Astyanax mexicanus: one gene and its partner. The protein of the gene in region 2 interacts with the protein of the main gene of each other region in a pairwise test. Links are inferred from orthologs where the notes say so. Each region holds a gene or a part of one and is shown on either strand. Other genes may lie near its edges.

What was found. The genes of interacting proteins can lie anywhere in the genome.
Region 1: the proteins of c19h1orf109 (region 2) and rnf41 interact in binary tests that used the Homo sapiens proteins (3 or more experiments, as listed by UniProt). The two-hybrid records come from large-scale screens. The link is inferred for Astyanax mexicanus from reciprocal best matches to the Homo sapiens genes AIRIM and RNF41.

The regions. Positions count from the first base shown.
Region 1 is NC_064420.1:45,036,550-45,044,516, forward strand, and holds the start of rnf41 (E3 ubiquitin-protein ligase NRDP1), read right to left. Parts: upstream 3,386-7,967; 5' UTR 3,234-3,385; intron 1-3,233. UniProt on the Homo sapiens protein: Acts as E3 ubiquitin-protein ligase and regulates the degradation of target proteins. Polyubiquitinates MYD88. Negatively regulates MYD88-dependent production of pro-inflammatory cytokines.
Region 2 is NC_064410.1:53,550,979-53,559,181, forward strand, and holds the start of c19h1orf109 (uncharacterized protein C1orf109 homolog), read right to left. Parts: upstream 3,229-8,203; 5' UTR 2,950-3,228; coding exon 2,681-2,949; intron 1,862-2,680; coding exon 1,682-1,861; intron 810-1,681; coding exon 691-809; intron 584-690; coding exon 543-583; 3' UTR 1-542. Other genes in the region: cdca8 (borealin), read left to right, coding at 4,123-4,216, 5,490-5,618, 5,783-5,820, 5,924-5,999, 6,094-6,158, 6,429-6,508, 6,607-6,702, 6,891-7,020 and 2 more. UniProt on the Homo sapiens protein: Part of the 55LCC heterohexameric ATPase complex which is chromatin-associated and promotes replisome proteostasis to maintain replication fork progression and genome stability.

The DNA of each region.
Region 1 (7,967 bases), on a different chromosome or scaffold from region 2:
TCAAACACCAATCAAATCTAAACACTTGTCTTATTTATAATATTTTTAAAGCAACTATCCTACAGTCACCGATTGTCATATTAAAATGCCACTCCAAACAAAAACAAAACAAACTACGCTACCCAGCATCACCTTCCTTCTATTTTCAGTCTGATTCACAGCTCCAGCTCCAGCTGTGGGAATACCAGCCCAGCTGTTTCGCAAGTAGTCTTCTTTTGACAGATTAGTCAATGCTAATCCTCAGACATTAAAAACAAAAGCAGATATGTCTGGCGGGGCCTTGCTGCGTTTTATGTATCCTCACAGGAAGCATATTAATCCAGCAGTATCGGCTTCCTTTCCTAACAATGCGTCCCGAAACAGGAGCAAAGGAGCCCAGAGCTTTGATCAGTCTGCAGACTGTAGATCGATTCAGAAGCTGACAGGGCATAAAACTGCTCGGGCTGGTTTTAAGAAGGAAGGAGGGGGAAATCCTCTGCTTTTGAAGTACCCCCTTTTTTTGCATATCCAGCATATCACAGACTGGAAGAGGGGGGGGTATTGTGTCCCATTTGGATGCTGGTGACCTAATTTCAGCATGGCAACACAGACAGGGGGAGACAGTTAGGAACGCTCAGAATGTACCCCTCACGAATGGGAGGCATTTTAAAGGAATGGTGCACAAATAAAAGCCAATAATCTATGCAGTTTAAAGAGAATGAGCTTAACTGCCAAAGACATATAGCCTCATTATAGCCTTCGTTCAAAGCCTAAAGATTCAACAGCACAAACAAAAACTGCCCAAAGCATTCCAGCACATGTTAGGTGAACCATTTTACGACTTAAGATGACGCACCCATGTAATATTTATGATGTATTGAGATTTTTGGTACAATTTACCTTACACATCAGACTGTGGACACCAAAATTAAATATTACCAATGATAATTTAGCTAGCTAACTGTGTTCCCAGCATTTTGCATGCAGTAATAACGGGCTGCACCCCACATTTTCCTGCTGCTTCCCTTCACTGACTGGGAAAATCTTTCAGCACTTGAAATTATTTTGGCGAAAACAGAAAAAAGGCACTTTTGGTGTTTGGTTGAATAAATGAAAAGAGAAATAATTTATAAGAAACAGCATATGTATACCAAGTGCTTTGTGGGTATATTCTTGCACAAATGTTAACAAGGTTAAGTGTTCAGTTTAAAAATATTTATTGTCGTTTTCGAATGGCTTTAAATCTGAACAGAAAAAAAAAATGATTAAGCCATTTAAATTCATGCAATGGTGAGGAATGTGGCAAAATTAATGAACACCTGCAAAACATGCGATTCGGCATTCAGCCAAAAATTTCATTTAGTTTCATTTTGACGATGGCAGCAGGCCCACACTCTCATCAAAAGGACAAAATGCCAGCATTGGACTAAAAACGCACCATGTTTTATTCTCTACTCACCTAAATTATACACAAACTATACTGTTCAGCCTCACTTATCATGCATGATAGCAGTTTGCTCAATGTATCATCTTTTCACACACTGCCTGTTTTTCAGCTGAAATATACAAGCTGTACAGGGCTAGGACAGTTATGATACCCTTAGTTTTTTTTTTTTTAAAGTTAAGTCAAAATTCTGCACAGTGCATTGTGGCACATTGAGGAATTGAACAAAGCCTTAAGTCTTAAGGCACCTGGAAGTGGTAATGCTCTGTGCTGATTTTGCATACAGTTGGTTGAAAGATAATGTAAGGTATATAAATGCTACATATGTTTCTAAAGTTATACCGGTATAGGTATGTGTCTAATCACTCTGTTTATAAGTTACGTTATAACGTATTTACGTTATAAATCTGTATATCAAATTTTTATGGATGATATATCTTCCCAGAAATTATTGCGATCAAAGATATTATTGTCATTGGCAATTAATTAACAAAATTTTAATCAATCATAGTTTGGCAAATATATGTATATATATATTATTCTTCACCTACTGCAGTCTGTGCACACTGTGTGTAAGGAGTCACAGTTATTGAAGCACTGATTGGTAACTGCATGACCGGCTAAAATACTGTTCACTATTACATATGTGAACAAACATACAAATAAAAACAATAAACATCTATAACATATCATAACTATCAAATTTTACAATAAGTCGAATGTATATTTTCAACTAGTTACAATAAAACAGATTTAAAATGATGTAAAGATTAGGACTAAATTCAGATAAGGGGCTGTTAAACTGAATGGAATAGGTTTTAAATCCCTCACAGTGTACTATATCTCTGTCCTGGTGCTTTAGGATCTCTGTATGAAGCCAACAAACGTAAAGAAAAAGGAAAAAACAGGAAAATACAAAGATTAAACAGATTAAACCTTGATCGTGACCCAACATCTAACTACCAAAGCTCAGACACCAAAGCTGCCTACAGCTAACCTGGGTTAGGCTGGCTATTTTCAGGCTAGCTAGCTATAAGGGGGCAATCTGGCTAATGTTAGCCTGCTAAAACAAGCATATACAATATATCTACCTAACATACAAGTTATCAGAATTAAACATAGGTAACCAGCTTTAAAACAAGAAAAATACTGTAACCTAGTAAGTTACATCTGCTCCTAGCTAACCTACCTAGCAAAAACTGAACAGCATGGCCAAGCTAGTGAAGCTTAAAGGTGAAAAAAAGGAGAAATACTCCTCTATTTTTATCCTGAGATGTGTAAGAAATATGTTATCTGTATAAGCAGTGAGATATTAAGGTATTAATCCTTAAATATGCCGAATAAACTGTTCTAAACCAGCCGTTTGCGTTAGCGCTAGTCACCAATTGAAGCCAAGCTAGCTACGCTAAGCTAAGCTAAGTAGTTAGCTTTAGCGTTAGCTAGCTACGGTTGCTAAGGCAGATATTTAACTAACGTTAGCTGGCAAGCTAGCAACGTAGGCTGTCTGGCAATGAAAAAAAAGGTATTAAAGAAAAGGACAAACTCACAGTTTAAAGACAATAAAAGCACATTTAGGTAGATAACTCTCTGCTCTCGTTAAAAAAATATTTAAAAAATGCTCAAGCTTGTTTTCTACCCTCAATTCAGCCCAGTAAAAACAGCTCATCCAGCACAGCTGACACACACTGCTGCCCCTGCTTAGCTAGCGTTAGTTAGGTCATCTATCTATCCATTTACCCCGTTTTTCAGACATTTAAAGGGCTTTAAATAATCTCACCCACCATAAGAACACTGTCAGAATGTGCATTACCTGTTCAGGTATATAACAATCCAGAATTTGTCGAGATTACGTCGATATTTACAGTTTTATGGGACCAGTCTGTGAGACGCTGCCTCTCTCTTCCTTAGCTGAACGGATGTGTGTCACTTATATTATAAGTGCATCCCATAGAGCTCTGTGGGTCAGTCTCAAGCACTAGTGCATCTAAAAAAATACAATATCATTAAAAAGTAACCTTATTTCAGTAATTCAGTCAAAAAATGTGAAACTCATATATTTTATCGATGTATTACACACAGAGCGATCTATTTTAAATCTTTATTTCTTTTATTGTTGTTGATTGATTATGGCTTACAGCCATAAAAAAAAAATCAGTGTTTTAGAAAATCGGAATATTATATACATAACACCAATTGGTATGTCAGCCTTCCTCATGAAACTTTTCAGGGACAAAAAAACTGTTGCAGATGTGAACTGAGCCTAGTTGAAAACTATATGCTTATGTTCTGGACATGTTCACACAAATTCTATCTGTTTTTTCTTTTTATGGGTTAATATTGTTACTTGATGATTCTATTGTAATGCTGACTGTACAACAAAGGAGTGCTAAAGTTTTGATGGCAGCATCAACAGCAGCCAAGAAATCAATCTTGGTTACACCTGTGGTGTGGATATTTTTTGGACATTCTTATTTTGGAGCGGGTAACAGCTTGTTAACAACAACAAAAAAAGAAGACCAAATGGTACTTTTGGCAGTGTGGGCATTGGGCAGTGTGCCAAGTCCTACTGGAAAATGAAATCTCCATAAAAGTTGTCAGTAGCAGAGGGAAGCATGAAGTGCTTTAGCAGGAAAACAAAACTGCACTGACTTTGGACTTGATAATAAAACACAGTGGATCAACACCAACAGATGACATGTCTCTCCAAACCATCCCAGATAGCCAGCGACTTTGGCCCGGACTCGTTTCTAAGTCGGCACTGCTGGTTTAGAGTCGCAAGCAGAAAAATACTTCTGGCCCACAGCTGGCCCAGTGTCACTTTCTGACTGTTCTAAATCCGTGTCACTGAGCAGTCGTTTTGGTGCTGGTGAACGACTGTCGCACCTGACCTGTTGATTCTCTGAACACAGTTGTGAAATGACTCAAATACGGCAGACGACACACAGCCTGTTATAGTACACACACACACACACACACACACACACACAGCCTGTTATAGTACACACACACACAGCCTGTTATAGTACTGCTTCTCACACACACACACATCCAGAGAGTCTTATTCTATTGGCAATTTTTTTCTACATGGACTATATAAGCTGTGTGTGTGTGTGTGTGTGTGTGTGTGTGTGTGATCGCGTTTAGAGTGTAAATGAATCTAGGTGATATTTACCTTGGTGCCCCTGTGCATCAACCCAGTTCAACCCGTGCGGTTTCTCGTCGCACTTGGCGCGCGGATTCCTCAAACATTAAAACTTTCCTCAAATGTCAGCTATCCTGAAACCTTTAAAGTTTGTAGGTAGGTAGCAAAACTAACTAAGTGTTAAGTACCTTTTTTGAAATATCCTTTATTTTGATTCCATGTATTTAATAAATATTTTGACCGTCAAATATGAGTTATAACCCTATCTGTGTGTTGTCTCTTCAGTTAGCTAAGCTAGCTAATTTAGCAGCATATCAAGGTGATATTATCTGAGGCTAAATTATCTCAGAATGTAGCATTAAACACATGCCATGTTAATGTAAATGTTAATGTAACAGTTACTAACAGACAACCAAAAAATATGTTTTTACTTGAAATTAAAATTGTTAACTATCTAGCGTACAAGGCCAGAACAGATCTCAGCCAGCTTCAAGAACAGTCAGAAACCAGTTGTTCAAAAAGACACTGGGCCTAGTCCGGTGGCCAGTACTGGGCCACCTTTGAGGACAGTCAGAATCCAGCTAAGGCCCAATTCTGGGCCAGCACTCGGTGGCTATCTGGGATCACTGATCATCAGTAAATTTTACATTTCATTTGTAGATTAAGGGAGCAGAGTCTGGAGGAAGAGTGGAGAGACACACAGTCCAAACTGCTTGAGGTCTAGTGTGAAGTTTCCACAATCAGTGAAAAAAGTGTTGCCTCGTGCACATATATTGATTTTATGCGTGAATATTATTTAACAGTTTTTTTAAACAATCTGCTTTACATATAATATGTTATATAAGCATATATAATTTGTATATATAATATAATAAAAAAAAAAAATCCTAAGGGCGTCCATTTTCACCCAACCAAAAAACACTCGAACGCATGTCAAGTCTTATGTACGACCTCCAACCTCGTAAGTAGGACTTGAGGGGGTATATAGGACGTCTTCCTGTACAAATGTATAATATGAAAATATAAATAAATATACGGATGTGTACTGAAATAAACTAACAACTTTTTTCGCAGTTCAGGACGTTTTTTTTGGTATCACATGAAAACTTTCTCTTGTCCCTCTCATTCTTGTCAGGCCATCTCTCTGAAGCTTGGTGTTATAAATGCTATATAGTGAATAAGTTAATGAGTGAACCCATGGGCGTGGTAGTGGGGGGAAAAGTGGACCTGACTACCCAGGGCCCTAGTAGGGAGAGGGGCCCATGAAAATCCTGATTTTTTTTTTGCTCACTTTCCTTTGTTTACTGGCATGGATAGGGGCCCATTAACAATGAGGGTGTACAGGGCCCAGAATTTGCTGCTACGCCCCTGAGTGAACCATTCGAAACACACTTAAAAGTTCCTTCTGTTGCACAGGATAATTTAATCAAAGTTACCAGCCTCAGAGTTAACAGCTCCCCAGATAAGAGCACCTAAATAAGTATTTTGGCTTGTTTAACAGTTTTAAGTTACTACACGATTCCTTATTTGTTCCTTCATAGACTGGATCACTTCAGTATTCATTTACAATGTAGAAAAAAAAAATAAAAAATAAAAACATTGAATGAGAAGTTGTGTCCAAACTTTTGAATGGCACTGTACAGCATCAGCCAACAGTTTGGACACCCCTTTTCATACTAAGTTTTTCTATATTTCTTAATTTATTTTGTTTTCTGCAAGTGTTCCTAGGCCCATGCAGTCACTTATGTCAGTTTTTAACCCTTTCATGCATGGTGTACACTACAGTGGGCGCATATTTAAACATATTAAAAAAACAAAAGATTTGCAATATATACTCCAAACCACCAGGGGCTGTCTTCTAAACCAACTCTTTATTGTGTACAAATAAATGTCTTAATCAATATTCTCAAAACTGAGATATTGCATCAGAAATCCAAGATGGCGACCAACAGTGAAAATGACATTTTGACCTCTGGAATATCAGTCAAATCTTTTTATTCTGCAAGAAACATGCAGGTATACACTTTTTTTTCTAATTAAGAATGTAGTAAGGAACACTTTTATGAAAGTTTCATCAAAATTGGTAATACAGTTTTTTTGGTTCTGTGTCCAAATGTAACTGTCCACTATAGTGGACGTCATGCACCAATGGTAACATTTAGATTATAAGGACAATGAGTGAATTAGCTAAATTAGCTCTAATTATTGTTATTTTGATATATTATTAATTTTATAATAATATTATAATACTAATATAGATATATTATTTTTACAATATTATATTATTGTAGTGTTATTATACATATTATATGTATATATGTATTAGTATTATATATTATTATATGTATTATTATGGAAATATTATTATAAACTCATTTGTTAATTGTAATTGTAATTTATATTTTTTATGATATATTCCATCATAACAATATAACAATAGTAAACTACTGGTAAGAATAGGGTAAAATAAGGGTAACATTTATATAATAAACATCATAATTAAAATTCTCCAACTGCTTGCCTGAGCAATGAGATGTTTTTTTTTTATTTTTATTAAATTCTTTTTAAAATTATGTATATGTGCTAATTTGCTATTTAATGTCTGCACATCTCCAAAATGGGAAAGGCTGGATTTTTTTTAGTTATTACTTAGTATATTTTAAAGTTTAGGGGAGCCAATAAAAGTTGTTTTGTGCACTTTGCACAAAACAACCTTTATTGGCTCCCCTAAACTTTAAAATGTTTGTCAAGTTGTATAAGCCTGTGTGTGTGTGTGTGAGTGAGTGTATGTATGCAAGCATGTTCAGTTCTGTTGCATTGTTATCCAATGCATGGGTTTAATGAGGTATTTTCTTCAAATTTGCTGGTGCGACCAGACTCTTGATACTTTTGTCTAAACTGTTTTTACATTAAAGCTTTTTTTTATATGAACAGTTCCCATAATATATTGTTTCTTTGAGCTATAAACATGAAATAGAACATTTTCTACTAAATTGATCTTAATTAAGATCAAAAGATCTTAATCCAAAAGTATTGGATGGGGAACACAGTTCCACTGCTCCACATGTCAGTGCTGGGGGGCTTTATGCCCCCCATACCCAACACCTGCCAGGCATTAAAGGAGAACTCTGGTGTAAAATGGAGTTTTGGTGTAGTACAACATGATAAAAAGTACTTACTTTTGATGAAGAGCACACCTCCGTTCTCCCACAGCGTTCTGAGATCCAGATATTTTAACAGTTTGTCCAAACACCCTGCAGACTGGGTGAAACGGGGCATAAATGCCCCAATAAATTGCTTTTTCCACCGTTATTCAGCTCAAAGTAGTGCCACACCTCCTTGCTAGAATCCAGAGAGACATTTAAAACGAGGCATTAATAACTTAAAAAGGGCACAAGAAGC
Region 2 (8,203 bases):
TCATTGAGAAATATGAGCCAGGTATCACTTATAACATTGTCCTAGGCATTGTTAGGGAGACCAGTCGTCAAAAGTGATTAGAAAGAATTTTGCTTTGAACTGACTTAAATAAGGCACAAATAAATAAGTGATTAAAAAAACTGTATAAAACTGCTGCTTCTCCTGTTGTTGATGTGCACTGCAGCCATCTTGAATTCTGAACTTGCAGTTTGTACGACTCTCCTGACTTTTTAAGAGGGATATCAGTCTTGTTGAGGCATTCCAGTTGAAATTTCCTACTCGGAAATCCCGAGATCTGAGTTTAAATGGAATGAAGTATTAGCACTAAAGTTCTTGAAAACTCAAATCACAAGCTCACAAGTTTGTAGCACACAAAGATGAGAGTCAGACATTACCAGACACATCTCTGAAACTCATGTTACTAAGGCTCTGTCTGGTAATTACAGCAAAGTGTGACACTTCTTTTCCAGCCAGGTGCTCGTAACTGAGTGACGTAAGCTGGGCAGAAAGTGGTTAGCCAGCACACGGCTCAGTAACACTGTTCACTCCGACTCCATGAAGAAGGACACTTGAAAAAGTGCATCTAAAACAAGAACACAGAATAAATACATTACATAACTTATATAATGAAGAGCAGAATGGGAAAACAGCAGAATGCTTCAGTATCTGTTGGTGGCAGAACTATTTTACCTGATATTCTTTCTTCTTTATCAGGAGAATCTAAAGATGCCCATCTCTTTGGTGCTGCTTCCATCAGTGTGAGGTCATCAGGCTTTAAGGTCCACAACAGGTTCTTCCTCTGTATGTATCTGAGGATGTAACTGAGGAGAATAATATAACATACTTCTACTTTTCACACTAATCTATTAAGTTAAAATAAATCATTTATTTTCTTTACTATACTAAGTTATTTTATTTTAACTGCCTTTGTGACTTACATCTGAATATTAAGTATTTTTATTGTAAAAACAGTTCCAAATGAAAAAGAAAAAAATAACTGATTGACATATGGTTTTTCGTTTGAAGGGCTCACAAAAACAACTAAAATCAAGGGAAAATGTAAAATCATTTTGAAATACTAGACTAATCTAAAGAATCCGACCAGCCCTATTGTTCAAGAGCGCCATATCATTAACAATTATAATGACTTTGAGACTCAGATGCTGCTCATCCTAATACATTTCTACAATTTCGGTTGCATTAAAAGGCATGATTTGTCAGAATATTCACATGTTTACTTACATTTTTTGTTGCAGAGTTGTGAGGTTTGTGACTAGAATCAAACACCCGATGCTGACTCTTATCAAGAATTAATACAAAGTCTAAACAAGTATAATTTATTTGCTAATAAAACAGCTGTATGTTACAGCCCAGCATTGTTGTTTTGGCAACTAAAAAAGCCATTTTTATTGTGATGACTGAACTATCGTGTAACATTTGGCACCAGAGAAAAGACCAAATTAGCTGTTTCAAACTGGTTAACATAAAATCATAATCTGAAATGTGATAAGGCAAGGGGAAAGCTATTACATTTCTATTAACAATTATAGTAAAACAAAACTAAAATTCAATGTTTTAAATGTTATGATATCAACATGACCGGTGATAGCAATAAAATAAAAAGAAAAATGTCAGGTTAATTTCTAAATGCCACTGATGAATCTTAGCACGTCTAGGATACTGAACACGGTAGTAGCACTCTGCATCCTGGAGCCATTCCAACATATCAGCAATAGATGGAGAAGTGGCAGATCTGGCAACACAAGTGTGCAGATCCAGGGAGTCTGCATTCTGCTCATACAGCTGGAAAACTGCAAACACCTGCTTACTTGTGGAATCCCGAACTCCTTGAAGTGTTTCTCTGCAGAGCAATAAAACAAAACACTCATGGATGAGAAAATTCATAACATCGCTGTTTAAATCTTAATAACCCAAAACAGGAAAAACTTTCCTCACTTCCTTTAAGTACAGGATTTCATATACATACACTGCATTCGCCAATTGCTAGACATGAGCTAGAGAGGTATAAAGCATACATAACATTTTGAAATTATGAATAAAATACTTGATAGCATGTATCTGTAGAATCAGAAGACTTAATTCACCAAGAACCTGCAGTGCAAGAAATCGGTGTAGGTTTCAGACATACATTCAAAGTTGAACTTTTAAATGTAGTTCTGGCCTTCCAAATGTGATTGGTTTGTTAAATAACAGCTAAAGGTTTATTTTACAGAAAAAAACTGAAAAAACTGTTTTTGAACACATATTTGTCTGCATTACCTTTTATCTTGTGTGTTAATTTTTATTTAACTTGTTTTATATTTGTTTGTTTTCCTTATGCCAAATGAAAAGGACTGTTCCTTTTCATTACCCTGCTTTAGAAATGCAGGTAAAAATAAGTCAATATCATATTGTGCAATAATGCAATGATAAAGTTTAATTTTCATTTTGTTGCAGTATTTTGTAATATCTTTAAGAGTACCGTTATCATGGAAATACCATGAAATATTGTGATATTATTTTAGGGCCATATCTACTGTACAGCTTTAATATAGTCTTTAATATTAAATGTACAATGTAAAAAAATCATAAAAAGAAAGAAAACACATTGAATGAAAAGAGGTGTGACTGTTACTGTATGTACAGCAACAAGTTAAAGTGTATATATGCATGAACTTACATTTTTTCACTTAATTTCCCTAAGACAGTGTCTACTGCCTGTGCCAGCTTGTGCTGGAGACGTGGTTGTAGATCTGGAAAGTGACAGAGCGGAGTGCTGGCTAGATCTACACTCTTCAGCGCCCTCAGCTGCTCGGCCAGGTTCCCCAGAGAGCTGATCAGAGGTGAACACTCGACCAGAGCAGATCTCCAAACCTCCTTGTTCACCTGAACACTCTGGAAGCATTTCCTTAGCTCCTGCTGTAAGAGCAGCAGTGCAGGCTGAGACATAGTTAATCTAACTAACTATAGACTACTAAATTACCGCCTGTCTGAGTGCAGCTAGCTCCAATACTGCTAATCTGACCAACATATCAACCCTCAGTATGAAATATAAATGCTCAATGTATATATTTAAACGCTCAATCCCTGCTCACATATCTGACAAACATAAACATACCCAGTTATATGTTTTCTATAGTCTTCTAAAGAATGTTTACCATCTAATACCCAACACGTGCTAGCTAGCTTAGTTATTAACAAACCCAGCACCAGCATTTTGATGCAAGTCAGAGTGCAAAACGATTTTCTGTCATAATAAAAGTTCCCCCAAAATGTAATAAAATTCTGTTTTAAGTCTGTAAATTAAATACTATGAACTAGGTTGACAATATATAACGTTTAAAACTAATTAAACGTTTTTTAAAACTTAGAAACGCATAAAATAATGTAGATAATCAAAGAAAAAGTAAGAAACATACTGTTCTTTATAATGTCTCTTTTTTATTATTAGAGTTATATCTCCGCAAAACTGTGTAACATAATACTTGTTTTAGTACAATTTCTTACTTTTTATTTTATTATCTACATTATGTATGCGTTTATATGTTTCAAAAAGCTTTTAATTAGTTTTATACTCTATATATTATTAAACTAGTTCATAGTATTTCTTTTACAATTTTTTTATTCCATTTAAGGGGGCTCTTATTTTGACAGAAAATCTTTTCGGACTAAGCTACAAAACACATGACACATGCTTTCCACTAAGCTCTTCAGCGATTGGTCGTTTTTTGTATTGTTCCTTAAACAGTAGCTGATTGGTCCGTGACGCCGGCGTAATAGACGCATACAGAAGCTGCCCGGTCATTGGTTGAGCTGCTGCTCCGCGAATGAATTTGAAAAGTGTTGCTTCCAACCGCCACCAGTTTAGGGAGCGTCGAAAAGCAGCGAAAGGAGCAGAAAAATATACAAAAATAAAAGGAAATATAAAGGAATATAAAGAATTCAGAACAGGTAGGTAAAGAATATTGTCTTAGAAGTGTTGTTAACACAATGTTTACACGTTTAAGTGTGCATAAAATTAAACATTTAGCGTGTAATTATCTGGCCTAGTGTTATGTTACAGGTCTACAGTAGTTAGCTAGTCAGCCTCAGCATTGCGTCTTTCTTTCTTACAGAAACACAATGGCTCCGAGAAAACGAACAACCAACGCTAAAACCAAGAAGAATATAAAAATGCCGAAATTAGAAGCGTTTCTTCTGGACTTCGATGATGAAGGTAAGATTGTTTACACTAAAACCATTGACTATTGTTAACTTTAAGGCTGCTTACGCAGTTAGCTTGCATTAAAAAAGACTAACTACAGTTAAAATGCCAGCTGGGAGGATCCCAACAGGTAAAATGTTTAAAATATGGTTAAAATGTGAGCTTTAAGCTTTTGTTTATTATTTTTGTATTATTCCAATGTTAAACCTATACTGTATTATAATTCTAGCTAGTGTTTTGGTATAATGAACTGCCTTTAACAGGAAAATGACAATAATGGAAATTTAATTTTGATGGAGACCACAGCTCCACAGCTTTTATCACAGCTATTAAGTAATTTTTATTTTGGGTCCTTTACTCAATTCACACAGACATGTTTTATGTTTTTCTATAAATTTATTTTATATATATTTTTATGTATATAGTGCAGAATGTGTTTTTTTGTGTGTATAGCTGTATGTATATTTGTAGCAGGACCGACAAATTGAATAGATTGACAAATAAGTAGTAGTTACATACACTCGTGCAAAATACAATGTAGATTTATTGGTTAAATGTTTTTTATGCACATGCCTAATTTTGTTTAAATAATTATTGCACACTTTCTGTAAATCCTCTAAACCTAATTTCACTTTTTTGTCTGCTGTATGATATGTTTAACTGAATAACCAATTATTTATAAACGAAAAGGATCAGGGTTTTTTTGGCTAGACAAACAAATGGCAGTGTGACCTTAATGATACGGACGGACGATTGGATGGATACATTGGAAGATAATTAATAAGTAGTAGTGTTAAAGTATTGATATTTCACAGAGTAGTTAGTATATAGTTGGAGTACTTACTATGATGCATGCATGGTAGCTGTGAATTTAAAAATTCTGGGCAAAATAATTAAAAGGAAAGTGTCCAGTGCAGATAATGCAATATCATTGGTAAAAACAGATTTACAGTGCTGTATAATCTCATGGCTGCAAGAAGAAATTACCTACAGCAGGACAGGAGGAGTCTGTTGCTGAATGTATGACTCTGATCATAGAGAAGCCCTTCCACCAACTTTATAAAACATTACACAGACAGACATTTTTGCCAGTATCTGCCTCTTCATGTTTTTTACTACATCCAGTTTAGCCCCAAAAACTAAGCTCACCTTTCACCAGATTAGTCTCTTGTTTGTGTCAGGAAGTAGTTAGATTTCGTCGTAGTTTCTCATCTCGGGTTTTAGTAGGGGACTGTTCAGCTTCAGTAACATTTTAACATCAAATGTTATTGATTTTTGTACACAGTGCGCACCATAGTGGAGAGGATGAAGGACAAGACCAACAATCTGTTAAAGGATGCAGACAACCTGTACAACATGGCTCTGATCAAGCTGCCTATGTCAGTGCGACGGATGAACTGGATTCAGTACTGTGGTATGTACATACACACTTCCGTCCATTTTAGCTACATAATTCCATTCATGTTTTATCACATTGTGTTCTTTGTTTATCTACCAGGTGTTAAGAGTTTGTGTTTTAACAGGCAAGGGATACTGTTATAGGACATTCTGAATCTTATGTTTTATTCTTTTACATAGATTCTGAAAAGCCAGAAGCACCTGTCGATGAGTCCAAGGCAAGTCCTCATTTCCACTGTTGATCATCTCGGAATGACTGTTTTAAGGTTTTATGTGTGAGATGTACATGTTCTATTTTTCATCTGTTGTTTCTGCTTGCAGCAAAAGGAGGTGGCTGCACAAGTAGAGATGACCATAGCTCATGATCATGCTGTTCCTCCAAAGTCTGCCAAAAAAGGTAACTACTGCTTTCTTTTGATCTTGTTTTTGATATTATTCTTAGTTATTTCTGTGATGGTGATGTTAATCATGTCTTCTGTGTTTATTGATAGCTGCTAAGATCAGCTCAGGCTCAGAAAATGAAGAGAACTTAGTACCCAAGTCTACGACAAAAAAGGTCAGTCTAAACTGTTAAGATATTATGTAGCTAAACAAAGAAATCAGGTCTGCAACAATTTTGTGGTCCTGTATTTTGAAGGTGCGAATATTCTGTTTTGCCATATTCAGATATGTTTGGTCCCCCCCCCCCCCCCCTCTTCGTTTTATCATTGTCATTATTTGCATTTTTTTAATTAAGATTAAAGAGCTAAATGTTTGTTTTTTTTAAGTTTTATCCATCCTTATTCTATGGCTTACAATTGCCCTAATTTTGTCATGTTTATCACAGGGAAGGCAAAAGAAGGCACCTTCAACTTCAAAGAAAGCCAAAGCTCTTTCAGTCAGCAAACAGAACAACACTATTAGAAAGTAAGTTTTATTTCTTATCTACATTTTGCTCATTTTAGGTGACCATTAACTATTGTATATAAATGTTCATTTACCGGTAAATTATTATTTGATTGCAGATCTAGTAGAAAGCCTTTGGTCACCCCAGCAAGAAGTTTCCTGGATTCCTCCATAATCGGTCCGACACCACTCATCACGCCTCGCTTTGATTCCAGGTGACTCCATAATTTTTAATTTGGCCAAATTTCAGACTAAAAGAAACTGTTAATAGAGCAGCCAGGTTTAATCAGCTACTGGCTACTGTTAAACATGGTTGCCTGGTTGACTCTTTAATGGAATGTCAGTGTTTGTTTCCTGGGGGTAAATTATGTGAATTTAAGTATGATGTACTCTTATCTTTTAGGTTGCCCAAGACTCCTGCAGTGCGAGTTCCCCGTCACAGAGAGAAGGTGTACAGCATCTCTGTTAACGGATCTCCTATTGCTGGAAGCAGTGAGGACATTGTCATTAATGTCCCTCTGGGAAGTGGAGAGGTTTGTTGCTTCTTCTGTCTCAAGCTAAAAAATTCAAGTGTCCTTTTTTATTTTTTAGTCAGAAAATAACAGCAGCTTCTCTTTGTTTCCTCTTTTCTCAGTGTATTCAGCTGCTGGCCAGTGAGATGGACTGTATTGATCTGAGCCAGTTGGATGAGAAGGCGGTGCGCAGTATCAGACAGCTGCAGGTATTTATTTGTTGTGAAGTGGAAGCCTGTTATTCCTTAAATACTGTAAAACACATGATTTACTGTTCTGTTTTCTTTTGCACAGAGCCGACTCACAACCCTCTGTGGAGGATCCAAGTGACCTGACTGCTTCTGCTCTCATTTCCTTTCTTTTAAAAAATCAGACACCACCCTAAATCGTCACACTTTTATTCCTGTTTATAAAGTAGCTTTGTCTAGTTTTATCCTTTTATCTTTGCATTTCTTTTAAATACTGTCTCCTTTTTCTGTCAGGAATTTTCATGGGCATTTTACATTTGTACATATTTCCGTTTGCATGTAGTGTTTTCACATGTGGTGTCTTGTAATATGTTTGTAAATACAATTCATTTGCAACAGATTTCAGATTTTTTTTCTTCTTAATTGTATTCATTTTATACTATTACTCATGAGGTGAATTAATACTGGATATGTATATTAGGAAATTATACTCAACAATGGACCTTTTTTGTTTGTAAGTGAAGTGCAACTTTTCACCATATAGAAATGTGTATATAAAAAAAGCTGTTTTCAATTTGTGTATTGTGTGCTTTTCCCTTTCTAGCCTGGGTTTAAGTTTTAGTGAAAAAGAGTGACTGTGCTTTTAGTATCCTGTGTATTTAAGTCCTGTAGAGGGCAGGCGTGCTGCAGCTGCAGTCATCAATCAGTCAAATCCAAAAACTGTAGAAACACACAGACGGGCAACATCTCTAGCGAAACCATAAGTCAGTGCTCCACCCATCCCTCATAGGTTTCAGTAATGAAACGCTCCATCTTATTTTTCTCCTTTGAATTGTCTTTCCATATCCAGTGTCTAATTTTAACATTTTTTCCTGTGCTAATATTCTTTTTTTTTTACCCCCAGAAAGTTTTTAATAACATTTTTTTTCTACATTATTATGCACCCATGGTTTCTACAGTCCTTGACAAAATGATTCTAATTACCATAGGTCTCGCAATGCTCCATTAAAATAGCA